Diceros bicornis minor: one gene and its partners. The protein of the gene in region 4 interacts with the protein of the main gene of each other region in a pairwise test. Links are inferred from orthologs where the notes say so. Each region holds a gene or a part of one and is shown on either strand. Other genes may lie near its edges. The genes, in order: SAXO1, TRIM42, PLSCR3 and STK16.

The links.
Region 1: the proteins of STK16 (region 4) and SAXO1 interact in binary tests that used the Homo sapiens proteins (3 or more experiments, as listed by UniProt). The two-hybrid records come from large-scale screens. The link is inferred for Diceros bicornis minor from reciprocal best matches to the Homo sapiens genes STK16 and SAXO1.
Region 2: the proteins of STK16 (region 4) and TRIM42 interact in binary tests that used the Homo sapiens proteins (3 or more experiments, as listed by UniProt). The two-hybrid records come from large-scale screens. The link is inferred for Diceros bicornis minor from reciprocal best matches to the Homo sapiens genes STK16 and TRIM42.
Region 3: the proteins of STK16 (region 4) and PLSCR3 interact in binary tests that used the Homo sapiens proteins (3 or more experiments, as listed by UniProt). The two-hybrid records come from large-scale screens. The link is inferred for Diceros bicornis minor from reciprocal best matches to the Homo sapiens genes STK16 and PLSCR3.

The regions. Positions count from the first base shown.
Region 1 is NC_080761.1:41,259,556-41,267,274, forward strand, and holds the start of SAXO1 (stabilizer of axonemal microtubules 1), read right to left. Parts: upstream 3,010-7,719; 5' UTR 2,995-3,009; coding exon 2,972-2,994; intron 1-2,971. UniProt on the Homo sapiens protein: May play a role in the regulation of cilium length. Stabilizes microtubules at low temperature.
Region 2 is NC_080741.1:12,847,351-12,854,173, forward strand, and holds the start of TRIM42 (tripartite motif-containing protein 42), read right to left. Parts: upstream 3,018-6,823; coding exon 2,677-3,017; intron 1-2,676.
Region 3 is NC_080757.1:10,920,038-10,926,891, reverse strand, and holds the start of PLSCR3 (phospholipid scramblase 3), read right to left. Parts: upstream 3,010-6,854; 5' UTR 2,620-3,009; exon of another isoform or gene 1,889-2,619; 5' UTR 1,718-1,888; coding exon 1,711-1,717; intron 1,449-1,710; coding exon 1,213-1,448; intron 1,115-1,212; coding exon 1,072-1,114; intron 969-1,071; coding exon 748-968; intron 467-747; coding exon 305-466; intron 1-304. UniProt on the Homo sapiens protein: Catalyzes calcium-induced ATP-independent rapid bidirectional and non-specific movement of the phospholipids (lipid scrambling or lipid flip-flop) between the inner and outer membrane of the mitochondria.
Region 4 is NC_080776.1:9,544,429-9,552,439, forward strand, and holds the start of STK16 (serine/threonine-protein kinase 16), read left to right. Parts: upstream 1-4,993; 5' UTR 4,994-5,073; intron 5,074-5,079; exon of another isoform or gene 5,080-5,273; 5' UTR 5,274-5,377; coding exon 5,378-5,463; intron 5,464-5,577; exon of another isoform or gene 5,578-6,041; coding exon 6,042-6,261; intron 6,262-6,512; coding exon 6,513-6,646; intron 6,647-6,803; coding exon 6,804-6,924; intron 6,925-7,052; coding exon 7,053-7,148; intron 7,149-7,512; coding exon 7,513-7,634; intron 7,635-7,744; coding exon 7,745-7,883; 3' UTR 7,884-8,011. Other genes in the region: GLB1L (beta-galactosidase-1-like protein), read right to left, coding at 2,320-2,380, 2,546-2,696, 2,952-3,118, 3,300-3,368. UniProt on the Homo sapiens protein: Membrane-associated protein kinase that phosphorylates on serine and threonine residues. In vitro substrates include DRG1, ENO1 and EIF4EBP1. Also autophosphorylates. May be involved in secretory vesicle trafficking or intracellular signaling.

The DNA of each region.
Region 1 (7,719 bases), on a different chromosome or scaffold from region 4:
AGAAATGAACAGAGCCTCAGAGACAGAAAAGAATACTTGAAGAAATAATATGCAAAATATCCCCAAATTTAGTCAAAGATGCACATCAAAGGCTCTGAAATTGCCCAGCAAGTCTAGTGCTGAGGCCTATTTCTGCATGTCTTCATTAATTCTCAGGCCCCATCTATACAGGAGAGTAAGCATATCCCGAGGGGTATGGATGAGTAGAGAAGTCAAGTATGTATTTGAATAGAAAATATGTAAAATTCAATGAGTAGGGAAAGACTCAAGCCCACTACCAACTTTCTTGCTTCTTTCCTGACTTTGGGGAAGGATTCCAAATGCCTTTTCTCTTTTAGCTCCTGCTTCCCTTACTCTCTTCACTTTACCCAGGAGTCTTGTCAATAAATGAAGGAGTCTGTGCTGCCAACTCCCTGCCCTCTGCCCTTCAGCCAAAGTCATCAAGTCTGAACCCAATTCCATCTTCCCCCCTGGGCCTCCAGTTCTCCCTACCCATGGTGCCACTCACTTTAGAATAAATATCTAATACCATCTTGAAGACTCATCTCTTTCTTATGAGACTATTCACTTTGCCCATCTTTAGGAATCTGGCTTAGCTAACAAAATAATGCCCCAAACTGGGGCCCAAGTGTCTCACATAAGTGACGTGCCTAAGGGGAAGTGAGGCTTGAAGTGCAAACCTCTTATTCATTAATTGATCTCAGGTATATGAACTAAAGGCAGAACCTACGTGAGAGAATTACCAAGGGCTGCAAGAAACAGTTTCATACTAAGAAGGGCTGAAATCATGAGCATTCACCTCATGGCACCTGCTGTAAATCCCCAAGATTTACAGTCAGTAAGAGCTGTGTGCAGCTGTAATGATGCCTCGTGCTGGGATGATAACCTTTCCAGAAACCAGGTGTTTTTTGTGTCTGGGCTTAATCAGCAAACCAAGCCAAGGCCCAGGTCCCGTGACTTTTTCATTCAGCAGGTGGCAGCCCCATGTCCGATCTCAAAAATGACGCTGGGTCAGACTTTAAATAGAGAAATTGGTGGAACATTCGATAACAAGGGTTCTAAGGGCAGAGGGAGACACTCCATGCAGATACAGGGGTGTGAAGACACAGGGCTGACCCATCCTTTCCCCCAGAAGCCTCTGGTACAGCACCCAGATGATGCTTCTTTACCTTTCCCGATAGGAAATAGTTTTGTTGTATGTACACATATGGACCAGAATCTTTGCTGAGTTTATAAGGTTCAGAAACGATGGTTGGTAAAATCTTGATGTTTGTTAATTTATCTCAATAAAAGCTTACTGGAACTCAAAAAAAAAAAATGCATCCTGACTGAGACACAGTTTTGTTCTTGATCTATGAAAACTAGTGCCCAGGCAGGCACAGGGCTGAGAAATGATACAACTTAGGGGAGAGAAGAGAAGGGATGCCCTCTGCTCATTTCATCCTTTAGTTCCCTCTCTGGGGAAGGAAACAAACGAGAGAGAGAGAAGAATTTCTGCTTCATTCTCTTCATGGGTAACCTTGATCCTGTCAGTTTTTCTTTTTAAGGCCCTTATGATCATTAACAACTTGTTCTGGAAATTCTTTCCGTGTCTGCATTCCTCCACTTTGGCCACATCTTGACATGAATAATATTGCTACTCTGGCCCTGGCAGGGACAGAAGGAACTTCTGGGTCATATGTTTATTGTAAGTGACATAAGGCAGGGATAATTTAGGACAGGTCAGAGGGGAAGTTTTTGTTTTGCAAAGCACTGTCAGGAAGAGGGAGGGCATGTGGGGCTCCAGCTGGGGGCCTCAGAGTTGGGTGATGGGGCAGGGCTCCAGCTCCAGAGAGAAGATTTGCCCTCATTCTCTTAAGTTTGTGGGCAACAAACAAAGGGCACCCCTCAACATCCATCCCTCAAAGCATCCTTTTCTCTATTTCCAGGATAGGAAATATATCCCTTATATAACAACATCTGAGACTGGTTTACATCTCACAAGGTGCGCTTGATTTCCTGGAAATTGCATATAAAGAGATGGGAAGACCAGCACCAGAGGCTGAACGGGATATTTGCAGACCATTCTTCAAGATTACTCTGACTCTTTTCGACCAGTTACTTGTCTCTTGTGCATATGTGTGCAGAGGACTTTTCATTAGCATTGACCATGGTTTCTTAAAAGGAAAAGCAATGCTCAGGAATGGTGCACATCTCTTTTTGTGGTCTTTAGACTCTCAGAAACTAAGGATGCTGTTTTCTTGGCAAAACGAAGCGCAAACTTTAAGGTTCATATTGTTTAAGTCACAGGCTAAAAAACAGGTTGCATAAAATATAATTTTTTTATGAATCAGGACCCAGAAACATTGTGCTTAAACCAAATCATTTAGGATAATGGCTTATCATAAAGCGACCCCTCAATACAGATCCCTCTGCACCCCGAATCCATTGAGCCATGTGGTTCAGTCTCTGCACAGCCCTGGAGCTAAAGAAATACATTCTTCGTTCATTTTCTTCAAGGACATTCAAGGGGACCCCAATTCAAAGTCTACGGCATCATTTCCAAAAAGCTCACTCTTTCTCTATTATCAAGTTGTCTTTCACCACCACCGCCATCACCAGCCTAGATGACGTGGCGCTTATGTTCCAAAGCTCAAAACTGCTTTTTCAGCAGCAGCCCCTCTCTTTCCATCGTTTTATTAGTTTGCTTAACCTCCAACCCTTCGTTATGTAGATCAATTTAGTCTCCCCACTCCCACCAGCAAGCAAGAATCCTTTCTCTTTAAGAGGAGGTTGGGAAAAACCAACCAGGCTAATAAATACAGAATTTTCCTTTCAGAGATATAGCAAATTAACATTAAAGCATTAATAGCATATGTTGATACTGTACATTAATGCAAGACTGTACATTATTTCATTAACACTGTACATTAGTACTGTACGTTACTCCACTAGTGCTGTACGTTCATATATTCACACTACTTGCCCTCACCTCGATGTGCTCAGACCTTCCATTGGTATGGACCCTTTCTGGTACTCCAGCTTGGGCTTGAAGGACTCTCTGGGCAGATAGGAGTGATAGAGAGGGTAGTTCTCGGTGTATTCGGAGAGAAGACATGGTTTCTCTGTTTTATCGTAAATCTTGGTAGGGAGATGCGGACAGTGGTGCCGCCTACAAAAGACACATGAAGTTAGGTCGCTTACCTTCTTAGGAAGAGTACATCCAGTCTGATAATGCTACCTCCTCAAAATGTGACCCAGTCATAAAATCATGTGAATGCTGGCATTGAAAGCAGGAATTTAACCCTTCCTTTTCTCTACTAAACTATGTGAAGTAGCCAGAATTTTTTAAATGATCTATAACTGCAGTTGGTTAATTGTCAAAATTCCTTGGACCATAAAATTACACACAAGTGTGGCTGATATTCAGCTACTACACGTACCACACTGCTTCTTTAAATATTGAAATACTTCCACCCCATAATAGGAAAATGGTTGTGGCCCTGAGTTCTCTGAGTGCCAACCCAGCTGCCCCATGACCTGCCCTGAGACCTCCCCGGGCCTCCCAATTGCCCAGCAATTAAGGGCTTAATACCTGACCTAACAAGATGCTCCAAGGCTGTGTGCTGGTGTCTCTCCTCATGGTTCCTGGGTCAATTCAGAACATCAGTGCACACATAGCAGAACCACCTCAGTTCTGAGTATACTGACCACCACTGACTACGTGAAACCATTTTCACATTGAAAGTCTGGCTTATTTATTCTTTCAGGTCTCATCTGAATTGTTGCCTCCTTAGAAAGACCTCCGCTGATCACCTTATACCTACACTACACCCCACCACCCTGTCCCCTCTCTCGCGGTTTCCCTCATCACTGTGTACGCCTTCCTCATCACTCAATGTTATCTGTAATAGGCATGTTTGTTGGTAAGCTTGTTTACTGTCTGTCTCATCTATTAAGCTCAGGACCTTTTCTATCTTGCTCACAGCTACAGCCCTAGCACCTCATATCCTACGTGATACACACTAAGCTTTCAATAAACCTTTATTGAATAAATTATTGAATATATAAATGAATGATTAAATGAACCTTATGCCTCAATATGCAGGTAGATGACAGATTATAATTTGACGTTATGATTTATAGTAAGCTTGTCCATTTTGCACTCATGGTAATAAATGAACCTCATTATTCTACTATCTGGACATTATTCTACAGCTGGACAAAGGGTAGCTGTTTGAGCTCTCAAAAACTAAGTAGTATATCAATTATCTGTGTGCCCACATACCATCCTTACCAACCACTTAGGGCATCTCTAGTCATTAGATACTAGCACATCAACAAAACTCCTTGCTAGTGATTTCCAACTTGGTCATATCGAGGAATGACAAAGTTATATCAAAAATAGAATTATTTTTAAATTTTTTACACAGAATCGATTTTAATTACAGAAACTAAAATACACAGTACCGTGGGGCAGCACGTGGAGGAGGGAGAGAGAAACAGACATACAGGGAACTCATCACTGCTCAAATCTAAAGCTATTTTCCAGGCAACGATTAGCAGGCTGCTCCTGTTGTTAATAAGTTCAATCCTCTACGCAAATGTTGCAGCCAACATTTACTGTTACTGTGTACCTCTCATCAACCCCCCAACCCCCAGAGAAAATGATCAAGCCTGTATTGTTCATATGGGTTGAATTACATATAAACAAGTTCCTTTAGAAATATCTCTATTTATTTTCTTCTCATTCATAGATTTGTGTATTGGAAAAGCCTTATGATGATATAAACTTGTTACATTTATTTTTTATTTTTGTTATTGTAAAAGTACTATTGGTTCATGGGGAACATTTTAGATCTTTCTAATTATTTACAAGGAAATCTTCCATAAGTATACTGTCCTTATATTATGAATATCTGAATTTTACAGTGTTAAATACACTCAATAAAAGTTTAGTATTCTTTTTTCAAAATGCACATTGTTGGCATTTAATGTACAAAGATGAATACGTATTTATATTTTGTATCTATTTAATAAAGTATCTCCTAATCATAGGTACATACAGGCTTTCACCTGTCCACTCAAGAGATAAATTGCGGAGTTTCATAGTATACAAAATAACCATTCCCCACAGTATAAAAATGTTAGATATTATTATCATCTGTGCTCACAATCAGTCCAATTCTCTGAGATTTCAATCTGACCCAATTAGTACCCTACCATTTTAAGACTCCAACAAACCTCAAATCAAAAGCCAAGAAGTACCAAAAATACCTCCACAGAGATATTTATTCACTCACACTCTTTGAAAGAAAAGTCAAGATTTTTTTAAGAATAACTTAGATTCAGGGACTTGCAATAAAACAGACTCCACAGATATAGCAATATTTTCCTTCTCCAGGTCCCTTGTTTTTTAACCAGTAAAATGTTGCTTTTATATAACCCCCTTTCCATATTGTTACTTTTTAAAATTGTAACATCCTGTAAAGGCTTATTCCAAAAGAAAAATAAATGTGAAGGCAAAATACTACACTGTGATTGGTATCATGAGGGGATTTCAGTATAGCAACGAGCTTCCATTCAGACACTGATGTTCCATTAAATGGAATTATATTGACACATAGAGGGCAGATCTGATTTGACTTGCTGCTAGTTAACTAAAACCTTGTCTCACTTTGAAATTTCAAAAACTCTTATTTGAAAGCGAATATTTCATTGCTTGACTTTGCTCATGGGGTCACCTCTCCTTACCTGTACCCAAATACCCAGAATATTCTTCTCAAGACACCAAGCACTGTATCTTCTCCTTGTTGGTCTGCCCACCCCCTCCTTAAACAGGACTTCCTCTACGATAAAGACCAAGACTGACATCTCTGTGTTCTGGAAGCTATCCTAATGCTTATGTATTTATTTAATAGATGGATGGGCAGTCGGACAGTGTATAGGACAATGAACTGCTACAAGATATTTACAAGTCCTCCGGAAAAGGAAAACAACTGATTTGCTCAAACATCAGTAGAGCCAAAAGGGAAAAGAGACATTCTCTGTTTATATGGACCTAATCAGTGCCTAAAGAAAGTATGTGGAATCACCACGCTTGCAAGATTTAAATGTAGGCTTGACAGTCATGAACCAAAAAAATGAGACCTCTTCCAGTTCTCGGATACTTGTACTCATTTTAGGAGCTGCCTTGGCCACCTTGCTCAGCAGCACAAACAAGCCTAGATGGGGCCAATAGGTAGAGAAGGAAAAGGGGAGAGAGAAGGTTTCTTCAGTCTATCAGAACTCTCTAAAGTCATTCCACTCAGGATTTACCAAAGGACCAGAGGTAAAAAGGAAATAATCCTGACGTTTTCTGATATTTGGTAAAAGGGGTAATAGACACCTTTCAATGGAACCCAGAAAAACTCAGCAGTAGTTGACTCCAAGCCAGAATCATAGAGTTTTGCAATTGAAAGGGGCCATGGAGAATATATGACCCAACATCCCCACTACGTAGATGAAAAATCTGAAGCTCAGAGAATGAAGTACATGACCTAACCATAAACAGAACCTACATCTCTATTACATCAGAATGACGATGTGCATTTCCTGACATGCACCTCACTCAGAGCCAACTGTGACTCAAGGAACCCTAGAACAGATGACAGAACTTTAAGGATGTAACGAGCACCTCTAGAATAGCACCATCCAATAGAAATGGAATGCAAGCCATGAATGAGAGCCACATACGTCATTTTAAATTTTCTACTAGCCACATTAAAATGGTAAAAAGAAACAGGTAAAATTAATTTTAATATTTTACTTAACCCAATCTATTCAAAATATTATAACTTCAACATATAATCAATATAAAAAATTATTAATGAGATCTTTTACTTTCCCTCTACATCTTCAAAATCCAAGATGTGTTTTACACTGACAGCACGTCTGAATTAGGACTACCACATTTCAAGGGCTCAAAGGCCACATGTGGTGGTCGCTTCCCTGTTGGAAAGTGCAGGTCTAGGATTTGAAGGTACAGACAAAAGAACTGTAAGCACTCAAGTGCTAGAAAGATGCCTAGAAATATTTTTGTTGGCTAATATGGAATTTGTCCCTTGCTTGGACTCTCTGACCTGCTTTCATGTGACACAATCAGAGGCATTAAAAGACATGAACAATTAATTGAAGGAGTTTTCCATAATTCTCCTCTCTCCGCAGAGCCCAGCTTCAGTTTTATACACCTGTAACGGTCCCTGGAGTTGCTCTCTTTCCCGCCACTTTCACTTTTCCAAAATGCTTCCCTTTTTTCAAGGCCCATCTTGAAAGCCACCACTACACCACCACCACCACCCCAGGGAGCTACTGACGATCCCACTGCTCCTTGTTATGGCTGTGACTCTCCTCTAGTGTGCATGGTGTCATGTCCCTACCTCTTTTAGGATCCTTTCTCTTCTGTACTGCCTTGTACAGTCCTTAACTTATAACCTTACAGGTTAAGAATTTTCATAGTTGCCAACAAAGCTATTCATCAGAAGAAAAACATGGCAACTCTTCCTGCCACCACCAGGCAGCATGAATAGTAGCTAGTATAACACAACTTTGGGCTTTTCAAACAAATGGACTTCCAATAGTGTTTTAGAACCTAACCTATTTGTAAGGAGAACAGCATCTGTGGATTTCAGTGGCTTGTCTTGCCTCTACTGTGGTCTTTTAGAATCCCCCACTGAGCCTTGCCTGGTATCAGCAATAAAG
Region 2 (6,823 bases), on a different chromosome or scaffold from region 4:
ACTCCCCACTGCTGCTAGCCAGCTCATGTCCACAATAGAGGAGAACGATGGTCAAGTCCATGACAAGTGTGTGCTTCTGCTGTTTGTGTGTGTGTGTATGTTGATTCTTTATTTGTCTAATATCCAAGGCTGATTTCATATATTTAATTGTAAGAACTATGGATGAAGAAAAAGCATACTTGTAAAATTCAAGTGCATGTTCTAAGAAGCTACCATCAGGGCAAAAGCAGATGATGAAAAGAAATGAATTCACTGTGGGGATGGAGGAGTAAACAGACACACAATTGGTGACTGTTCCTATTTCTTCTCCTCTGTTCACATTAGTGACGTTTGGGTGTTGATCTTGATGTTGTGGCTGTGTTGTCTTCTGCTGTTCCTTCTTGCAGTCCCCATCTGCCCCTGTCTCCTTCCCCATCCCCTTGGCCAGGGACCTATGTCTCGGAGCCCAGAGAGTTAAAGTTGCTGCCCAGACATGTTGGAGTAGAGTGGCCCTGTGGTGGCAGAGAGTGCACCTTGTGGAGACTCAGGCACCTGGAAGGCTCCTCCCTTAGGGATTTGGCTGCTGGGCTCCAGGCCTGCCGGCCTCAATGTTCTCAGCCCTGAGCCCTCCCTGCTTTCCCAGCCTCCTCCCTGGGCCCTGAAGGGCTCACCTGGAGATGCAGGTCAATTGTTCACAGGGTAGCTGGATGGTCTTCTCTAGTTTGATAAGGTGGGAATCTGAGAATCAGGTGTAACATGAAGGGAGACAGCAAGAGAAATCAGAAGAAGGAGGGAGTGGGGGTGGTGTTGGGGGAAGAGGAAGAGAGAGAGGGCAAGGCTAAGAGACAGGTGTTAACGGCCCAGGGAGAAGGGGTACAGGTGGAACAGGAAGTGAGCAGAAGAGATGAGTGAGGCGGACAGGGATGGATACGGCCAGAGTGAGGCAGGAGGAGCGAGACGCTGAGCAGGAAGTGGTGGTGAGGAACAGGAAGGGCAGCGGTTCAGGAGAGAGGCCAGATGGAAGATCAGCCTCAGTGCGCCCAGAGCCAACCCCTTGACACTTGCGATAGCATCCCTGCCCACCCTCGGAAAGCTCAGGCTTGGACCCGGGCATCCAGTGGCCACGGTTCCGCGCCAGAACAGTTCCAAGCGCCGCGGCCTTGCCTGCTTGCTGAGATCTCCAGCCTCTGCTCCTCTGCACAGCCTGCTCCCTCTCCCGAATTCAGCCCTGTTCTTCCTGCTCCTGGGTTCTCACTCTACCACCCAGCAAGTCTCCCAGCTTCCCTCCTTGTCCCCTCCAGGCAGTTCTGCGCTTTAGAATCACCTGGGAGGGGACCTGTACAATTCTGATGCCTAGGTCGTTCCCCAGACCAATAAAATCAGAATGTCTAGGGGCGGGAGCCAGGCATCAGTAGTCTTTAAAGATCCCCAAGTGATTCCATGCAAAGCAGTTGGGAGCTACTGGCTTAAGGCATCTTCCCAAAGAACCAATGTCATCCCTCGCCTGTTGAAATGGGCTCAGTGACTCTCCATTGCTGATGCGCAGAAAGTGGGGCAGTTGAGAGGAGAGAGGAGTGTGGACACTACTTTCTGCACCTCAGAGCTTCTGGACCTGCATCCGGGACCCCTGGGTTCTCTATTCGCACAAGCACCATGAGAGGTCCCTGAGCAGAGGGTAACATCTATTAAGCATCTACTAAGTGTGAACTGCAAGACAGAGCATACTCTTCCCCTGAGTTCACTGAACCTTTCTCACAGTATGGCTTTTCCAGCCTTAAAAGGCTTCAAACCTGCCTCTCACTTTTCTGCCTTTCCAAATCCTGTCATCTTACAGCGCTCAGCTTTGATCGTTCCTCCTCAAGGGAGCCTGCCTACTGCTCCCAGATCCCCCTCATGTGTGACATAAAAAGCCTGGCTTGGTCAGAGCGGGAAGAGGATGTGCACTGCCTGAGACAGGGAGTGAATGCCCCAAATGAGTAACTGAGACCCTCAGTGCCATGACTTCTGGATAGAAATGGAGAGAAAGCTGGCAGAAGGTCACGGCCATCTGGGGGACTTATGTAGGCCATAGGGGTCAAAAGCTGTGGAAGTTCTTGCTTTTCCGATAAGTGTTGCAGATATCAAGAGTTCAGAGGAGGAAGAGGAGGAGCAATTTGTATTTTTATGTCACATAACAGACTACAGAGCACGTACATTAATCCTCAAACCCACCGAATCGTGATAGGCGTTGTTCTCTCCATTTTGCACCAGAGCGTTTTAAAGTTAAGAGCACAGACTTTGGGTTCAAATCCTGACCACATCTTACTGGCTGTTTGATCCTGGGCTGCTTACCCTCTCAAGGGCTCCGTTTCCTCATTGCACAGTGGGCGTGTGCTGGGGGTCGGATGGGGCCGTGCATGCAGTGCCTGGCAAGTTGCTTAAGCACTAAGTCTTAGCTATGACTGTTTGTACAGACGAGAGAGCTGAGGTTCAGGGGAGCACAGTGCTTGTTCACACATGGGGGACTTGGAACTCAGGTCTCTCCACGGTTAGTGGCTGTTTAGGACACACTCAATTGCTACAAAATTCTTGGGTTCCTTTTTTCAGCTAGAGAAATGTACTCGCAGGACCGCTGGCCTTCCCTGTGGACCCCACAGCTGGCAGGGGCCCCCAGTTTTCCTGAGCCAGTGTGGCCCACGTTGGGTGCCCGGCACTTACGAGATGCGGATGCTCTTGAGGCGGCCCTTGCGGAATGTGATGGTGGCATTGCGGCAGCAGCGGCTCTCGTAGTAGTAGCACTTGAGGTTGCTGCTGGTCGTGCAGCAGCACTTACAGTTGGGGTCATTGGCCCAGGAGCAGCAGCACCAGTGGCAGTTGGGGTTCTCGGAGCAGGTGCAGTGGCAGCACTGACAGTTCCGCTCATCCTTGTAAGGGCAGGGAAAGCAGGTGCAGTTCCGCTCCGAGGTGAAGAGGAACTTGCAGCACAGACAGGAGCATAGTCGAGGACAGCATCTCTGCCATGTACAACATGGAGAGCAAACACACATGGCGGTCTCCATGGTGCCTACATGATTGCCACCGCCCTCTGGGCCTCTTGATGCCTCCTCTACTAGAATCTTCCTGTGAGTTCTCCTGTGAGGAGGACCCTCCTCTCCCTGATGAGCCCGTCAGCTTGGAGGTTGCAAGAGGTTGGCTGTTATGAGGCCTTCACAGGCTGTGTTCCTACTGGGAAGCTCATGGGCTGGCATTTACATATATCAGACTGAGGCCATTCGCTTATGTCACAATCCCTGTCTACCTACCATATCTCACCAAGCTGGGTAGGTGGGAGGGTGAGATCTGGGGGGTAGTGGCAGGTGGGCTGATGGACACTCCATGCTTTCAGAGGACCAACTCCAGAGGAGAGTTAATGCCATGAGCCATCCTGGAGCTTTAGCTGTCACTTGTCACCTTTTAGGTTATGGGGTGGATTTCAGAAGCTATTTCTCTTTGCTTGGTGCTTTTCCTGCAACTTGGGTAAGTTGACTTCAGGGTATGTCTTTATAGGCTGAAAGGCCTGGGTATGATTAATTGGAAAAGTAGACTGACGTGATGTTCCTCTCCTTGGGCTTTTTCTGCCTTGATAGAACTCTTTGTTTTATGAACAAAGCACGCTGTTTACAAATGATAGCAATGCTACATTTAAAGGGAATCACCATTTGGAGAAAGAATTAAAGGAAAAAAAGATGTAAGTTCACTTAGGCGCTTCTTTCAGTAGTGGTTGAGTTGGTCAGTTGCTGCATCGTCACTGCTGCTTCTCATGAGTCTTCATGCATAAGTTACTCTGAACATTTCTTGGCTTTTTTATAGCTTCATGGTGAAACGGAGGCTTCAAGGCTGAGGCTCAAGCTCTGTTTCTCCCCCTCCTCCCATCCCACTATATCCCTTTTATCAATAGGCTGGAACTCTACATGAGAACCTTTAACTCTTCTTTTAGTACATGCTCAGTATCTCTAGAAACGACCTTATATTTTAGGGGAGAATTTTGCTTTCCACTCTATGCAGCTTGAAAAGAGTTAAAGAGCAGAAATTTCAGGGCCGGCCCCATGGCTCAGCGGTTAAGTGCGCGCGCTCCGCTGCTGGTGGCCCGGGTTCGGATCCCGGGATCCCGGGCGCGCACCGACACACTGCTTGTCAGGTCATGCTGAGGCCGCGTCCCACGTACAGCAATTAGAAGGATGTGAAACTATGATGTACAACTATCTACTGGCGCTTTGGGGGGAAAAATAAATAAATAAAATTAAAGAGCAGAAATTTCATGGTCATTTGGTATAAACACTCTGGTGTAAACACTCTTATTATTTTTCCAAAAAGAAGCAGAAATGAGAGCTGAATTTGGCTGCAGTAGTTTATTGCATAATTTATTATCTCTCCCTATGATTCTCACCTTTATAACAGGAATGTTCACTGAGTACCAACAGTGTTAGCCACACATTGATCTTAGATTCCTACAAATGAAAATCCTGGATCATAGGGTATGTGCTTTATTTTTTTGATAGATACTACTAAATTGCTTACTTAAATGTGTGTGCCAGTTTATAGTGACATCAATAATGTATGAAAGACATTTTTTCCCTATGAGTTTTGTGAACTCAATTTTATCAATATTCCTTTCTACCTGCCAGGTACAGAGGTTTGTTTCACTCCTGAATTTCTAGTACATTTTCATCATTGGTCTGTGCAAGGCTTTCTCTTGTTTTTTTTTCCTTTCGTTTCTTTTTAAATCCTTATTGAAATATAATTTATTTACCATTAAACTCACCACTTTAAAGTCAACAATTTAATGGTTTTTAGTATACTCTCAAGACTGTGCAACTATCACCACTATCTAAATCCAGAACATTTTTATCACCCCAAAACGATACTGTGTACTCATTAGCAGTCATTGCCTATGCCCTCTCCCTGCAGCCCCTGGCGACCATTAATCTACTTTCTGTAATATTGATACATGCTAAAACATGGATGAAAATTGAAAACATTATGCTAAGTGGAAGAAGCCAGATACAAAAGGTCACATTGTATATATTGTATATTGTATATTATATGGCTGTACCACATTTTGTTTATTCATTATCAGTTGATGGGCATTTTGGTTGTTTCCACTTTTTGGCTATTAGTAATAACGTTGCTGTGAACATTTGTGTGCAAGTTTTTGTTTGAACATATGTTTTCAGTTCTCTTGACTATATACCTAGGAGTAGAATTTCTGGGTCATATGCTAACTCTATGTTTAACTTTTTGAGGCAATGCCAAGCTGTTTCCAAAACAGCTGCATCATTTTGCATTTTTGCATTCCCACCAGCAATGTATGAGGTTATAATTTCTCCAGATCCTCACCAAAACTTGTTATTGTTCTTTTAAAATTATTATTATTATAACCATTATAGTGGGTATAAAGTGGGATCTCATTGTGGTTTAGATTTGAATTTCCTTGATGGCTAATGATGTTGCGAACTTTTTCATATGCTTATTGGACATTTGGATATCTTTTTTGGAGAAATGTCTGTTCAAGTCCCATTTTAAAATTGAATTGTCCTTTTTATCGTTGAGTTGTAAGAGTTCTTTGTATAATATAGGTACTATACCCTTATCAGATATATGATTTGCAAATATTTTTTCCATTCTGTTGTTTGTCTTTTCACTTTTTTGATAGTGTCCTTTGAAGCACAAAAGTTTTAATTTTGATGAAGTCTAATTTACCTGTATTTTTGTTGTTGTTGCTTGCTCTTCTGGTGTTATTTAAGAAACCTTTGCCAATTCCAAGATTTTAGAGATTTACACCTATGTTTTCTCCTAATAGCTTTGTATTTGAGCTCTTACTCTTAGGTCTTTGATCCATTTTGAATTAATTTTTGTATTTGACATTTGAATGTCCATATATGTGGTTTATTACTGGACTCTCTATTCTAGTCCTTTGATCTATACGTCTATTTTTACACTAACCACACTGTTCTGATTACTGCAGGTTTGTAGTAAGTTTTGAAATTGGGAAGTGTGAATTCTCTACTTTTGTTCTTCCTTTAAAGATTGTCTTGGATATTCTGATTCCCTTGTATTTCAATATAAACTTTAGGATCAGCTCTTCCATTTTGGCACAGAAGTCCATTAGAATCTTGATAGGGATTGCATTTAATCTATAGATCAATTTGAGGAGGATTGTCATCTTAGCTATATTAAGTTTTTCAATCCATGAACACAAGATGTCCTTCCATTTATATAGGACTTCTTTACTTTCTGTCAACAACGATTTTCTTTTTTGGTTTTTGTTTTTGGCTTAATCCAATACTATTTATTATCTTATAGTTCTGGAGATCAGAAGTCCAAAATAGGTCTCATTGGGCTAAAATCAAGATGTCAGCAGGGTTGTATTCCTTCTGAAGGCTCTAGGAGAAAATCTTTGCCTTTTCCAGCTTCTGGAGCCCACCTGCATTCCTTGGCTTGCGGCCGCCTTCCTCCATCTTCAAAACCAGCATCCTAGCATGTTCAGATCTCTCTCTCTCTGACCTCTTCACACCTCTTCCTTTATCACATCTCCTCTGACTCTGATCCTCCTGACTCCCTGTCAACAATGTTTTTTAATTTTCAGTGTACAAGTCTTGTACTTCTATGGTTAAATTAATTCCTAAGTATATTATTCTTTTGATACTACTGTAAATGAAATTGTTTTCTTAATTTTATTTTTGGATTGTTCATTGTTAGTGTAGAGAAATAAGCTGATTTTTCAATGTTGGTCTTGTATCCTGCAACTTTGATGAACTCATTATTAGCTCTAATCTTTTTTTGTTGATTTTTAAGGAATTTTTTATATATATGACTTCATGTTATC
Region 3 (6,854 bases), on a different chromosome or scaffold from region 4:
GCCCATGACAGACTCAAGAATCATCCTCTACTCTAAATCTGGGCTGGCCTTAGAGTTTTTCCCCCTCAAGACAGGCCTGCAGGTAACAATCAGCAATGGTCCTTAAGATGAAACCCTTTTTGCCGTGTTTTTGTAAGACCATGGGGCCATCATGTTTCTGAATGGAGGCAAACTGGAAGTGTGGTGGGAGTCACAGTGGATTGGGATTGATGAGCTCAGGGTCTTGACCTTAGTGTTGGCCATCCTGCCTCATGGATCATCTTTATGGAGGTCCCAGAAACCTCCCCTTATGCCTGATACGTACCTCAAAGTTAGTGTCTGTGCCACAGCCACAGGTCCAGCAGGGCCCCACCACTCTCAAGATGGTCTTTCGATCGGCATCCTGGATGGAGAACTTGGGGAGGAAGGGATGCCAGGTCTGTAGCACATGGCCAATGGTGGTGCCAGGTGGAGCCTGTACTTCCATCTGGAGTGGGAGGCAGTCAGGGTCACTGCTGAGCCAGGGCATCCTGGCCCAAGCTCTCACCAGTCCAGCTCTACCACCTATCTCCCCTCACAAGGCCTCCCATCCCCTTCACTAGACCACCTGTCATCCCCCTCACTAGACCTCTCATCCCACCTGCCCACTCCCACCAGAGCGAAGCCTCATCCCAGGCCTCATCCCTCGTCCTGCCCCACAATTGGCCCGCCCCATTAAGGCCTGCCCCCTACCCAAGTCACTCCCAGGCTCTATCCCTCCCCGCCCACCTCCTGGAGACCACACGGGCAGCAGCTGCAGCCACAGCGGAGGGGGCGGAGCAGGCGCAGCACCTCTCGGTCCCCGGGGTCCACCAGGCGGACACGCAGTGGCCGGCCGGCACCACAGCACAGACGGGCGCAGCAGTTGCTCTCCTCAGCCGCCTGACCCAGGGGCTGTCCGGCCCCCGAGCGCAGTTCATACCGGTTACTTGTCTCCCAGCCTAGGAGCGCTGCCAAGGGGTGATACGCTGAGGCTCAGGCACCGGCGCCTGTCCAAAAGCCCACTATCTCTGCCCCCATCACGAGGCCCAACCTACTCCTCCTTCCACTCACTTTCCACTCGCTCAGCCTTCTGATGAATCAAGATCTGATCAATCTGGAAAGAGAGTAGGGGCCGCCCCGCCGTCAGCTGGCCGGCTTGGACGTCCGGTCCCTTTCCCGTCACTCCTCCCTCCTCCCCTCCCTCCCACTCACCTGCACCAGGAATTCGAGGCCAGAAGGCACCCCTGGCAGTGGCAAGAAGGGGACAGCAGGCCCCGGGGCCCCGGGGCCAGGAGAAGGGAAGAGAGCGAAGCCGGGCGCAGGGGCAGGCGCGTGGGCGGGCACTGGCGCCTGCCCGGGCCCAGGATGCAGCGCCGGCTCCGGGTACCCGGCAGTCACAGGGTAGGGAGGTGGGGGCGAAGGGGCGTAGTCTTTAGGGGGCAAATGGCCTGTGGGGGGACAGGAGTAGATTAGAATAGGACCCGCGGCCTCATCCCCAAACCCCTTAGCCCACGGGCCACGAGGCCACGGGGGAAATGTGGTGGCAAGAGACTGAGAAAGATGGGGCGGGGGAGCAGGGCGGCGGCTCCCCGGGAGGAAGGGAGGAGCCCCACTAAGCCAGTCTGAGCACATTCCCAGAGGATGTGTTCGACACCCGGCTCCCAGGTCCGTGGGGGGATAACGGAGACCCTCGGCCTTGCGCCCACTTACCTGCCATGGGGAAGGGGCGAGGGTTCGCGGGATGTCGGTATCCGAGAAGCTTAGTTCTAGAAGTGGAGGCAAGCTCGGAGACAGCCAGACAGACACAGAGACAGACACAAAGACGGACAGGCAAACGCCGAAAGGCAGCTGCGCCCGGCGCCGGCCCAGGGTCTCTTGGGCGGCGCCTCTGACTCGGAGAGAAACCGAAAGTGTCAGCGGGCGGGGCAGGGTACCTGGGACCCTGGATTCCCTCAGGGGCCCCAGAACCGCCCCCTCCCTTTGTTCTCCCATTTTCCGCGGAGTAGGCTGTAGGCAGACGGCAGGACAGATGGACCTGCGGTCAGACCGACGACCCGACCTCGAGGGAGATCTCCTGACCCTTCTGTGCCCCCCGCTCACCTGAAGCCCCTAGAATAGCCGGGGTGCCCAGCACTCGGCGGCTCTCAGAAGCTAGTGGAGGCGGGCCCAGGACCTGACTCCGCCCCTCGACCCGTCCAGGCCCCGCCTCCCCGGCCTGGGTGGCGCGGCTGCGCAGAAATGATGCCGGCTCTCCCGCGGGGCCGCGGACTCTGGACCACCGGTTCCTTCTGGTTGTCCGCGTTCCCGCCCTTTCCGCTCTCATGTAGAGTCCGAGAAAGGAAGCTCGCCTGGGGAGGGCAGCCGGCTGAGACCTAGCCCTGCGACACCCATCAGGTCTACGGGCGCAGAGTCCTCAGTCCCCCTTAGTGGGAACGAGGGCCGCTTGCGCGGCCCTGGACCCCAGGCTCCTCCTCCCAAGGGCGGTTCGGGCCTCGCTGACGCAGCGGAACACCCTTCACACTCGTTGGCTTCTAGGACTGGCTCCTGGCTCCCTTTCCACCTCTCTGGGGCTACCTCGCTGTCCCCTCTCCCTGGCGCAGCAGTGACCCACACAGACACCTTGCAATTCCAGTACTTCCTTCAGGCGCCCCCAGCCACGCGGGTGACAGGCCGCCAAACCGAGTCAATAATGAGCGTGCGTGAGGTGAGGCGCGGGGCCAGAGGAGGCAGCGCGGTCAGCAGGAAAGGCTTCCCCCAAGAAGAGTCTCTTCCTCTCGATCCTGAGCAGAGGCATGCAGGCGTGAGGAAGTCCTGCGCCTTGGGGGCCTATAGGCTGAGTGGCAAGAGATGAGTTTAGAGAGGGAGTCCAGCCCACGTGCACAGAGGGCCTTCTGGGAGCTGGGACTCGGCCCCAAGGACAGCAGCTAGCCCACTGAAAGATTTTAAGACCGAGGGAGGTCAGATGTTTTAGAAAAACCATTAAAACTGCAGCGTGGAGAACAATGGAGGCACTCAGGCTGGCTTGTTGGCAGTAGTCGGGGGCGAGGGGGAGGATGGCTGTGGTAGTGCAGACCGACAGCAGAGGCAGATTTTGGAGATATCTAGACAATAATATAGAACTTGTTTGGGGGGTGAGATGTGGAGGTGAGGAGTCCAGGATGACCCTAGGTGCCTGCCTGGTGACCAGGCAGGTGGAGGCGTCACCCATCAAGATGAACATGGGGAGATGCAACTTCGGGGGTTCCTCTGCCTCTATGTCCATGTTCCTCTGGGCTGGTCAGCTGCTCCCACAGCTTCAGTCATCATCTGCTTCAGACCCAAGTGCCTGGTACCCCTTAGTGCCTCAGATTCTACATGACCCAAACCATGGGCCAGCCTCCACGAAAACACATAGACGTACAGAAATTCAGTTATTCAACCAAGATTTAGTGAGCACTTACTGTATGTCAGACAGCATTGAAAGTGATAGGAATATACAGCAGTTAAAAAGAATTGACAAAAATTCCTGATCTCCTTGGGTTTACATTCTAATGGAGAAGAGACTGATAATGTAAACAAAATACATCGGAAGTCAGATGGTGACAAACGCTATGAAGAAAAATAGAACAGGATAGGAGGACAGAGAGTGGTGGGCAAGAGTTGCAATTTTGAAGAGGGTGGACTAGGAAGGCATCATCAGGAAGGTGATAGTTGAGCAAAGACCTAAGGGAAGGTCAAGGATTGAGCCATGCACACTTCTAGGTGAAGAGTGTTTCAGGCAGAGGGAACAACAAGGGCCAAGGCCCCAAAGCAGAAGTGTGCCTTACTTGTTCCATGAACAAAAAGGAGACTGGTGTGGCTGGAATGGAATGGAATGAACGAGGGGGAGGTAAGAGAGGTCACAGGAGGCCAGATCACATACGGCCTTTTAAATCATTGGATTATACTCTGAGTGAAATGGGCAGTGTTGGAGGGTTTGGACAGAGAAGAGACATGAGACTTACATACCAAATCAGTGGTCCTCAACCCTGGCCACAAGTTAGAATCATCTGGGGGTGCTTTAAAAATCCCTCTGCCTGGGCCCCACTTCATATCAATTAAATTAGAATATGTGGGGCAAGGTGCAGACCTAAGAACTTTTTGAAAATTTCCCAGCAGATTTTTTTTTTTTTGGTGAGGAAGATTGTCCCTGAGCTAACATCTGTGCCAATCTTCCTCTATTTTTTGTATGTGGGATGCTGCCACAGCATGGCTTGATGAGTGGTGTGTACGTCCACACCTGGGGATCCAAATCTGTGAACCCTGGGCCAGGAGGCCGAAGTGGAACACACGATCTTAACCACTATGCCACCAGGACGGGCCCCCCAGCAGATTTTAAATTGCAACCAAGGCTGAGGACTACTGTATTAGAAGGGTCTCTCTCTCTCTCAGGCTGCAGTGTCCAGAATAGGCTATAGGTAGGCAAGGGCAGAAGGAAGTTCTTGCAAAGAGCTGGGTGAGATATGATGGTGGCTCAGACCAGGCACCAGAGTGGTAGCAATGGAGGTGGTGAGAAATGGTCAGATTCCGGTTATGTATTTGAACCAAGAGGATTTGATGATGGCTTGGATATAGGATGTGAGGCAAAGGGAAGTCAAAGTTGACTGGGGCTTGTCCCAGGAGACCCTTCACAGTGTGGGCTCCACCCTTACTCTGGTCATTTCCCGCCTGCCCCCTCCGTCCTGAGCTCCAAACACTCCTGTTCTCCCTCTTGTTACCAGCGTGATCTTGTCCCTTTTTTCTGGTGAACTATTCATGCTGAAACCCAGCAGATGGACGGAAGTGCTACCAGTCCCCAAAGGCAAAACAAGCCCACCTCAGTATCTCCTTGTAACACTCAACATATTGTAACCAATTATTTTTTTAAAGGGTCCGTCTTCACTGCTGAAATCTGAGTTTCTTGGTATGTACAAGAAGGAAAGAACTTAGCTCTGGGAATTGGACAGAAGAGAGACTGAATCACAGCTTACCCACGTCCCAGCTGTATGATATAGAACAAGTTACTTCAACTCTCTTATCTTCACTTCCCACTAACTTGCAGGGCTCTTGAAAAGACTGAATACAATGTGCAGTAATAATAGGGACCAATTATCAAGCAGGCCTTATTTATCTTGGTTCCCCAAGAGTTCAGCCCAAAGCTAAGGTATTAGGGATCACATTACATGGAGGGTGGCCATTCCAGATTCCGGATTCTCCACCTGGAGGTTCTATGTGCCCCAGACATTACCTGAGATGAAGGATGGAAATGCAGCAAGAGCACTGGACTGGGAGGTAGGAGCCTGGGGATCCAGTGCTGGCTCTGCCACTGGCACTCGGGCTACTCTGGAGGTCCCCTCTGAGACCTTATTTCACTCATCTTTAAAATGAAGAAATATTGTGATCCTCTACTAATACACCTCAAATCATGCCTCCTCCCTTGATATAAATGTTTCAGTGGCTCTCCATTGCCCTCAGAACAGAGTCCAACCTCTCAGCACAGGGCCCTCCACCATTTGGCCCCTGCTACCCGCATTGTTGGCTACTGACCCTCTCAAGATCCTCAAGCCAGCCACCAGGAATTCTTTCAGGTCTTGAATGCACTAGGCTCTCCCCTGCTTCAGGGCTGCCTCAAAAGCTCTTGCCTTGGTTTGGAACACACCCCTCTCTCTCCTCATCACCTAACTCCTCCGGGTCTCCAGTGAACACCCTTTTACACTGCAGCTACTACAGGAATCTGGAGCTCAGGAGGGACTGGGGTGGAAGATAGACATTCTGGATTGAAAAGTATGCAGATTGTAATTAAAGATATGGGGCTGAATGAGATTACCTGAAAATCTTCTCATTTGGAGAAATGGTCTATACTTTTTTGAATGCGCACCTTCAGAAAAATTAAGTATGCACGTAATATACTATACAGATATGCACTTTATAAAACATACACAAAAATAGAAATCAAAAAGGATGAAATTAAAATATGTATACATAGGCGTTCTATTTTTGTGTGTGTGTGAGGAAGATTAGCCCCTGAACTAACATCCAATGCCAATCCTCCTCTTTTTTGCTGAGGAAGATTGGCCCTGGGCTAACATCCGTGCCCATCTTCCTCTACATTATATGGGACCCCGCCACAGCATGGCTTTACAAGCAGTGGGTTGGTGCGCGCCTGGGATCTGAACCTGCAAACCCTGGGCTGCCAAAGTGGAGCACGCGCACTTAACCGCCACACCACTGGGCTGGCCCCATGTTTTTCTTTTTCATTAAAATTTGGAAGCCATTGATTTCAACTGGGTAGAGGAGAAGCTGGCAAAGCAGCCACAGAGATGGGGAAAACCAGAAGAGTGGTGTCACAGAAGTGACATGATGTGTTTCAAAGACAGTGTGGCCAATTGTGTCAAATGCTGCAGAAAAGCTGAGGAAGATGAGACTGAAAATCATGCACTGGATCTGGCAACCAGGAGGTCATAGTGATTCACAGGATCCCTCCAAGGGCATTTATGGGGAAGAGATGGGATGGAAGACTGATCAGAGTGGGTTGCAGAGTAAACTTGAGTCCAGACCTCTCTCCCGAGCTCAGACACCTTCCTGAGCTCCCCAACTACCTGCTTGGTGCCTCCACTTGGATGTGTCCTAAGCAACACGTCCAAAACTGATCTTCTAATCTGCCTCCCCCTAATCTGCCCCTCCTTTGGTTTTTCTCATTTGGGTAACAGCACCTCCATTCAACCAGATGCGTAAACTAGAAATCTTTCTCTCATTCGCCCCTTATATCCAATCCATCAGCAAGTCCTATCAGCATTATCTTCAAAATAGTCCTTTCACCACCTCTTGCAGCCTAAAGCAAGCCACCTTCATCATCT
Region 4 (8,011 bases):
TTAAACATATGTTAACAGGATCCCCCTGGCTGCTGTATTGAGAATAGACTACATGGGGGAGGGGCAAAGAAGGGCAACCAGTTGGGAAGCTATTAAAATAGTCCAGCTGAGAGGTGGTTTGGACCAGGGTGGTGGCAGTGGGGGTGATGAAAAGTAGTTGAATTCGATATATTTGGAGGATAAAGCTGGCAGGATTTTCTGATGGATTGAATGTGGGGTGTGAGAGAAAAATAGGCCTCAAACATACCATAGTGTTTAGCCCGATCAGTTGGGAAACAGAGTTGCTGTTAACCGAGATGGGGAGATTGTAGGAACTGCTGGTTTGGGAAGCAATACAGGAGTTGAGTTGCATCATTATGCCTTTTAGATCTCCAAATGCAGAAGCCAAGTAGACAGTTGGATATACATTTCTGGAGGCCAAGGGAGGGTCCTGACTGGAGATACACATTTCAGAGTTATTACCTATTAGATGGAATTTAAAGCCAGGCGAAAGGATGAGATCATCTACGGAGTGAACATAGTTAGAAAGGAAAAGCACCCAAGGACTGAGCCCTAAAACAAGCCAGCATTTAGCGGAAAGGAAAATAAAGAAGAATGAGTAAGAGACTGAGAAGTGGTCAAAAAGATTAGGGGGGAGGGGCAGGGACCAGATAGTGTGGCATCATGGAAGCCAAGAGAAGAAGGTATTTCAAAGGACAGAGTGATAGACTGTGCCGAATGCTGCTGATTGGTCAAGGAGGATGAGGCCTAAGAAATCACCATGGATTTAGCAACGAAGAGGTCACTGGTTTTCTTGAGAAAAACAGAGATTGCATGTTTGGTGTTCCAGCCATACTTTATCATTTTAAACGTATTTCATAGTCAACTGAGTTTAGGAAATGCTGTAAGGGACATAAAGCTCTCCAGCACCCTAAGAAGTGGAACAGTACCTAGAGAGTTCCTCAGCAGATATAAGGCATTTACCAGAATGATCTTTTTAAAAGGTATAAATCAGATAAAGTTATTCCCTTGCTGTAATGACTTACTATTTGCACCTGAAATGAAATCCAAATTCCTTGAAATATTGGGCATCTCAGAGCTTAATCTTGAGTTCTCATCGTTTGTTTCTCTACGCTCTTTCCCCAGGTGATGTCTCAGTCCCCATGGGTGTAAATGCCATATTTAGACTGACGACTCCCAGATTTCTCTCTCTAGCTCAGACCCCCGCCCCGCCCCGAGGCTCCACACTCACACATCCTATTGCTTGCAATATCCTCACCTGAGTGTGATATGATAAAAATTTAACATGACCATAAGTATTGTTTTTACCCCCAAGAGTTGCTCCTTTGCCACTCCTAGTCTTCTCTATCTTCCCTGTATCAGTAAATGGCACCACCACCTTGACTGGCCAGAAACTTGATTCCTCTCTTTCCGGCCCCTACCCACACTATCCCCGCCCCTCCTCTTCCCATCAAAATCTATCAACAGTCCTGGTGATTTTTATCTCCAACCTGTATCTCAACTCTGCCCTCTTCTTTCCATTTCCATCACCATCACCTTAGTCCAGGAGCCATCATCTCTCTCCTCAACCACAGTCATAGTCTCCCAATTAGTTTCTCCACCTCCACCCTTGCTCCCCTCAATCCATTCTCCATATCCAGGCTCAAGTAATCTGAAAACAAACCAGGTATGTCTGGTTATACTCTTTCAATGGCTTTCTACTGTGCTTAGAATAAAATGCGAACCCCTCACAATGGCCTACAAGGTCCTGCATTAATAGTTACTATCTATCACCAATTTCATGTCACACTGCTCTCTCCCTTACTCGCTATGCTCCAGCCATGCTGGCCTCAACCATGCCATATTCTTTCCCAGAGAAGAATATTCTCGGGGTCTTACAATATACCATTCCCTCTACCTGCTCATTCTCTCCTCACTCTTCATATGACCAGAGCTTTCCCTTCCCTAGAGTCAAGTGAAATGTCATCTTCTCAGAAAAGCCATTTCTGACCTCCCCACCTAAAAGAGGCCCACTGTGTTATTCACGATCTCAACTCCTTGTCTGTTTTCTTGTGTGGTATCTCTACAGCTTGCAATAATCTTAGAGGTCTTTGGTTTTTTTAAGAATCTGCTGCTTTCACTATAAGTTGCATTGCACAGGGACTGGGTCTGTCTGGTCCCCCTGATTCTAGCATCCTGCTGGGCATGAAGGAAACACTCAATAAATATTTGAATGAATGATCTCCAATCAGGGGACACTCTCTTCTGTTTTGGGCACCCAAATGACTCATTTTGTTATTGTTTACTTTTTCCTGTGGTAAATCTTTTGTCTCAACTCACCTGGATCTGAGGTTCTCAGATGAATTTTAGGTTTTCGAAGCAACCAGGCTGGGAGACCCCCCTGAGACAAACACGAAGACAACAAAGAAACATGTAGGTTTTGCTGAGAGTGGAGTAGGGAGGTAAGAAGAGAGTAAGTTGAAGTGGCCCGAGAGTGTGGGCACATGGGTATAGTAGGAACCGCACATGGGTGGCTGTGGTTCTATCCCTTCTCCAACTAACTCACCATCTCCCACTCTGCACAGATGTAAGGTCCTGGTCTCAGTATGACCAACAGGTTCGCTATAGCTGCCTCATTTAGAAATGCAATGAGGTCTCGGCTGCCATGAAAGTTATAGACCCCAGGCTCTGGTTCATGGTAGTTCCAGGGCACATAACTGAGAAAGGAAGAGGTTAACAGGGCCCAAGGAGGGTAGGGGACTGCCGGGGAGGCCTAAGGGCTCAGGCCTTGCAGGGAATCTCCAGGAAGTTGTTGGAAGGAGGTCCCGGCCCGCCTTTTCCCACCCTTGGCCTGGAGGCTCTGAGCTCTAATCCCTCCTCATACCCAGCCAGTCTTCCTGTCCAGAGCCCCTTAACGGGGTGGTAGGAAGAGTAAATCCCACCCCTCCCTGGCTTGCACGAGCACTTCTTACAACTGCACGGTGTTGAGGCCACTCATTCGCATCTTGAAAAGCCGGTCTGCCCAAAGCACCCTCGGTACCCGAAAGTAGTGGAGGCTGCCAGACACGTAGCGGAACGGGACCCCGTCCAGGAGAAATCTGTCATGATCCCGATCCACTACGAACGACCGAGTGTCTGCCTGCAAGGGGACAGACCGTGCTCAGCAGAGGTCTGGAGTGGGCAGTCAGCGTCTCCCGAGAGCAGATGAGATGGAACTAGCCCTGCCCGTTGTTTTGTTATTTTCACTTTCTTTCTCTCCTCCGCCAGATCCGATCCCACCTCACTGCACCCAGCCGGCCGGTTCAACCCTCTCTTCTTACCTGGGGCAGCAGCAGCGTCAGGAGCGGCAGCAGCAGGGAGGGAAGGCAGCGGGGCTTCTTGGGAGCCATGGCGCTTACCGGGGTCCTAGAGTCAGAGACAGCGGACCGATCATCACGTGGTGGATTCCTGGGAGGGAACCTCAGAGAGCAAGGGGGCGGAGACTACCTCAAATTGCCAGGCAATTAGCCTGGACTTTGTCTCCAGCCTGCAGCCACCCGCTACTCTACTGTGTGTAAAATCCTTTACATTTGAACCAGCTTCCTCAGCATCACCTGGGAGCTTGTTAGAAATGCAGAGTCCTACCTCTGACCTATAGAATCAGAATTTGTATTTTAACAAGATTCCCGGGCGATCCTAAGCAGTGCTCTACTAGACTGAGCTCCCTGAGGATGGGAAGTGCCTTTTGCCCATCTTGAATCCCCAGCTTCTAGCACAGGGCCGGGCACATAGCAGGTTAAATCTAGATGAATGTCAGAACCGGGGGCTAAAACAGGTTCCGAACCAAGGGAAACTGTAGGAAGATCTTCCCAGTGATGTGGGGGGGGAGGGTTACAAAACGGATCTTTTTCCTAGAGAGCCCTGTTTCAGCAAAAGAGACCATCCAGACCATTCCATCTTCTTTGGAAGAGCACCCCTTTCCAATTGATCGCTGCCTGCCTGGGCAAGAGATGTCAAAAACAGCTGCCTGGTGCCAAGGCTTGGGAATTTATGAATTCCACTCCTGCCTTCACAGTCCCAAACCTAGGATGTGAGAACCAGGGTAATAATAATAATTATTATTATTTCTGTTTATTGACATTTACTGAGGGCTGTGTGTCAGATATTGTGCTAAGCACTTTACATCTCATTTAATCTTCAGACAACTGGATGAGATAGATAATTATCATTCCCATTTTACAGATGAGGAAATCGAGGAACGAGAATATTAAGTAGCCTGTCCAAGGTCACACAACTATTTTAGTAGAGCTGGGATCTGAACTAGGCAGTCTGGCCTCACTGTTCATGCACTTAACCTTAGGTGCTATTATACCTATTTTACAGTTAGGGAAAGAGAGACTCCGAAAGGTTATGTAACTTGTCTGAGGTCACACAGCTTGAGACCTCAGATCTATTAAGACCGGATTTAGACCCTAGTCTGGTTCAAGAGCCTGAGCTCTTAACCGCAGAGACGAGGTAGTGGGATACAGGCCAGAGCCTCCCAGGTTGTACTGATCAGAGCTCTAGGGGGCCAAGCAGCCAGTACTCGCCCCTCCTTGCGTCCCCCTCCGGGCTGAACTGTAGTCACCCACCCAGCGCGCCGGAGGGATGAGGCCTCCTACCTCCGGCATTGGGAGATGGAGGTCCTGGGGGCCTCGGGCCGAGCCCGGCTTTGCTCCCCTTTGCCGTAGGTGCCTGCGTCTTGACCCCTACTGAAGGCCAGGCGTGGAACCCTCTGCGGGTCCTGGGACCGGTCCTCCCCAGGCCTAGCCCGCCCCCGGCCTCCCAGCTCCACGCCCCCACATCCTCCGGACGCCCGGCGGTTGCTAGGAGACCGCGGGCCGTTATGCCAGCGCGGACTGATGACGTAACCACTGCTTCCGGTCCCTGGCGCTTCCCTTTGGCCGGAGCCAGGTCAGTAGGGGGGCTGGGCTGGGTAACCCAGGGCTCTGTGCGCCGAGGACGAGGGTGGGCCATGCAACGGGTGGGCCCGAGCCTCGCCCCCCCGGACCCCCGGAACTGGCCTCTGCCGTACGTTTGCGGCGCGACGGGCGTGGGAGCCGGGGCCGCCCGAAGGTGCGCTGGGGGTGGAGGAAGCGTCTGGTAGTGTGTGGCCTGAGGCTTCAAGGCACCTGACCCCAGGCTTCTTGGAGCTGGCGTCGCCAGGGCCCGTTTTTTCTAGGTTCCGAGACCTGGGCCTGAGCTCTCCACATTGGGACTCCAGGGGTCATCTGGATTGTGCCCGACCCGCGACCCTGCCGGTTTTTCCCTTCCAGCATGATCCGCTGGGCCTCCAGTGCGTCGCCTGGAGGAGCCCACTCAACCTGGACGAACTCTTTGGCAGCCTCAGAACGTCCTTGAGGAGGATGAGTGAGACACTATGGGCCACGCGCTCTGTGTCTGCTCTCGGGGAACTGTCGTCATTGACAATAAGCGCTACCTCTTCATCCAGAAACTCGGGGAGGGGTGAGTGTTTGGAAATCACTTAGCTGGTCCCCAGGGTTGTGGTGATTGGGGGACATAAGTCTGAACGTGATAGGGGCATAAAGGTTTTATTCTCTAACCTATCCTTTAACTCACCTGACAGAGCCTAGCTACACGTAGTCAAAAAAGTGGATTCTGGGGCCAGGCCTCCTAGATCCACGTTCTGTGACCTTGATAAGCCATGGTTTCTTCATCTCCTTAACGGAGATAATGATCTTGTGTCACTGATGGAGCTGTGAGGATTAAAAGAGAGAACACATATAAAATGTCTCGGTCAATGCCTGGTTCATAGCACGTGATAAATGTTGACTATTATTTATTTAATATTTATTGAGCATCTGTCATTTTCAGAGCATTGCGTTATGACTGTGGAACCTCAAAGATTACTATGTCCCTGCTCTTGAGCTCAAAGTGTAATAGTCTTCAGATGTCTCTTAGAGCCACGTCTTGGGAGGGTTTCTAATAAATGGGAAAGACAGCCCCCTCTTCTCCCAGGGAGTTCTGGGTCCAAGCCATGTGGGAGATGACCGTGGTCCTTCACTGACCCCTTTGGCCCACAGTGGGTTCAGCTATGTGGACCTAGTGGAGGGGTTACATGATGGACACTTCTACGCCCTGAAGCGGATCCTGTGTCACGAGCAGCAGGACCGGGAAGACGCCCAGCGAGAAGCAGACATGCATCGCCTCTTCTATCAGCCCAACATCCTTCGCCTTGTGGCTTATTGTCTGAAGGAGCGGGGCAGTAAACATGAGGCCTGGCTGCTGCTGCCTTTCTTCAAGGTCAGAAAGTCTCCTGGTTACAGAGGGGGTTGCAACAGAGCCACCTCCCAAGGCCTGTGTGAGCAGGCAAGCATGTTAGGAAACAGAAGCCATGTCCTGGGTTTGACCACTTGGGGTTCAGAGGAAGCCAAGGGTGACTGTGGAGTGTGTGTGGTGAAAGGGTCGATAGGCTTTTGACATAGGGAAGGGATCAGGCTCAGGGAGCAGAGACTTGAAAAGCCTCTCCAACTGTGGGGAAACTTGTGTTGCAGAGAGGTACGTTGTGGACCGAGATAGAAAGGCTGAAGGACACAGGCAACTTCTTGACTGAAGATCAGATCCTTCGGCTGCTGCTGGGTATCTGCAGAGGCCTTGAGGCCATTCATGCCAAGGGTTATGCCCACAGGTCAGTGGGAGGGCCCTGTGTCCCTGCTGGGACAGAAAGGAAGAGCCTCACCAAGAGAAATGAGAGATCTCTGCTCTCCTCCCATGATTCTTTTGCCCCCTGGGATTCCAGCTTCCCTGTCCAGGGACACTCATGGGTCATTTCCACTTCCCTACAGGGACCTGAAGCCCACCAATATCTTGCTTGGAGATGAGGGGCAGCCGGTTTTAATGGACTTGGGTTCCATGAATCAAGCATGCATCCACGTGGAGGGCTCCCGCCAGGCTCTGGCCCTGCAGGTAAGAGAGTCTCCAGGTTCCTTTGCCCACCTGCTCCCCATCCTTGACCCCTTCTGCTGCATGCCCCCGTTTGGTCACATGACCATGACCTGTTGTCCCACTTTTGAGCTCTGGGGCCACTGTTCCAGGACTGGGCAGCTCAGCGGTGCACCATCTCATACCGGGCCCCGGAGCTCTTCTCTGTGCAGAGCCACTGTGTCATCGATGAGCGGACTGATGTCTGGGTGAGGAGGAATACTGCTCTGCACCTACGGTGGGGGAGAGGAGCAGGTTTCTGGTGCATGGGGCCCCAGGAACCATATATGTCCCCATCCCCCTTGACTTCCTTCCTGGGAACTGTCACTGTATTCAGTTGCTCAGGAAGTGGTTAAATCCTGGGGTACAGCTAAATGTCAGGGCTGAAGGCAGTGACTAAGCAAGGGGTGCAGAGGCCTCTGGCTAACTGGCAGTTTTCTCTGAGCCCTGGTGGTGTGACATGGCTGAGGTCGGCATAGTCCTTCTGGCTTATGTAGTCTCCTTTCACTACAGAATTAAGAGGAGAGTGATCACCTCCACTGGTCTTCCAAGGAATAACCAAGTTATGCTCAGTCCCTAGGCTGTGTGCTATATGCCATGATGTTTGGGGAAGGCCCTTATGACATGGTGTTCCAGAAGGGTGACAGTGTGGCCCTTGCTGTGCAGAACCAACTCAGCATCCCGCAGAGCCCCAGGTGAGCGGTAACGGGCACTAAGCATTTCAGACTCCTCCCTGACATGAGCACAGTCGGAGCCTTAGCACGGGGGATGGGTGCCCTGCAGTCACCCTGCCCTCCTCCCACAGGCATTCTTCAGCACTGCGGCAGCTGCTGGCCTCCATGATGACCGTGGACCCGCAGCAGCGCCCTCACATTCCTCTCCTCCTCAGTCAGTTGGAGGCACTGCAACCCTCAGCTCCGGGCCAGCACACTACCCAAATCTGAATAAACGTGGCCACATTGAGGACGTGGCCCCTGTGCCTTGGAAAGAGTCTCCCATCCCTCACTGGAATCTGTCCATTGTATCCAGGATGCTCTCTTGTATTTGGGGGCAGCTCAGTCTTCTTTCTCTG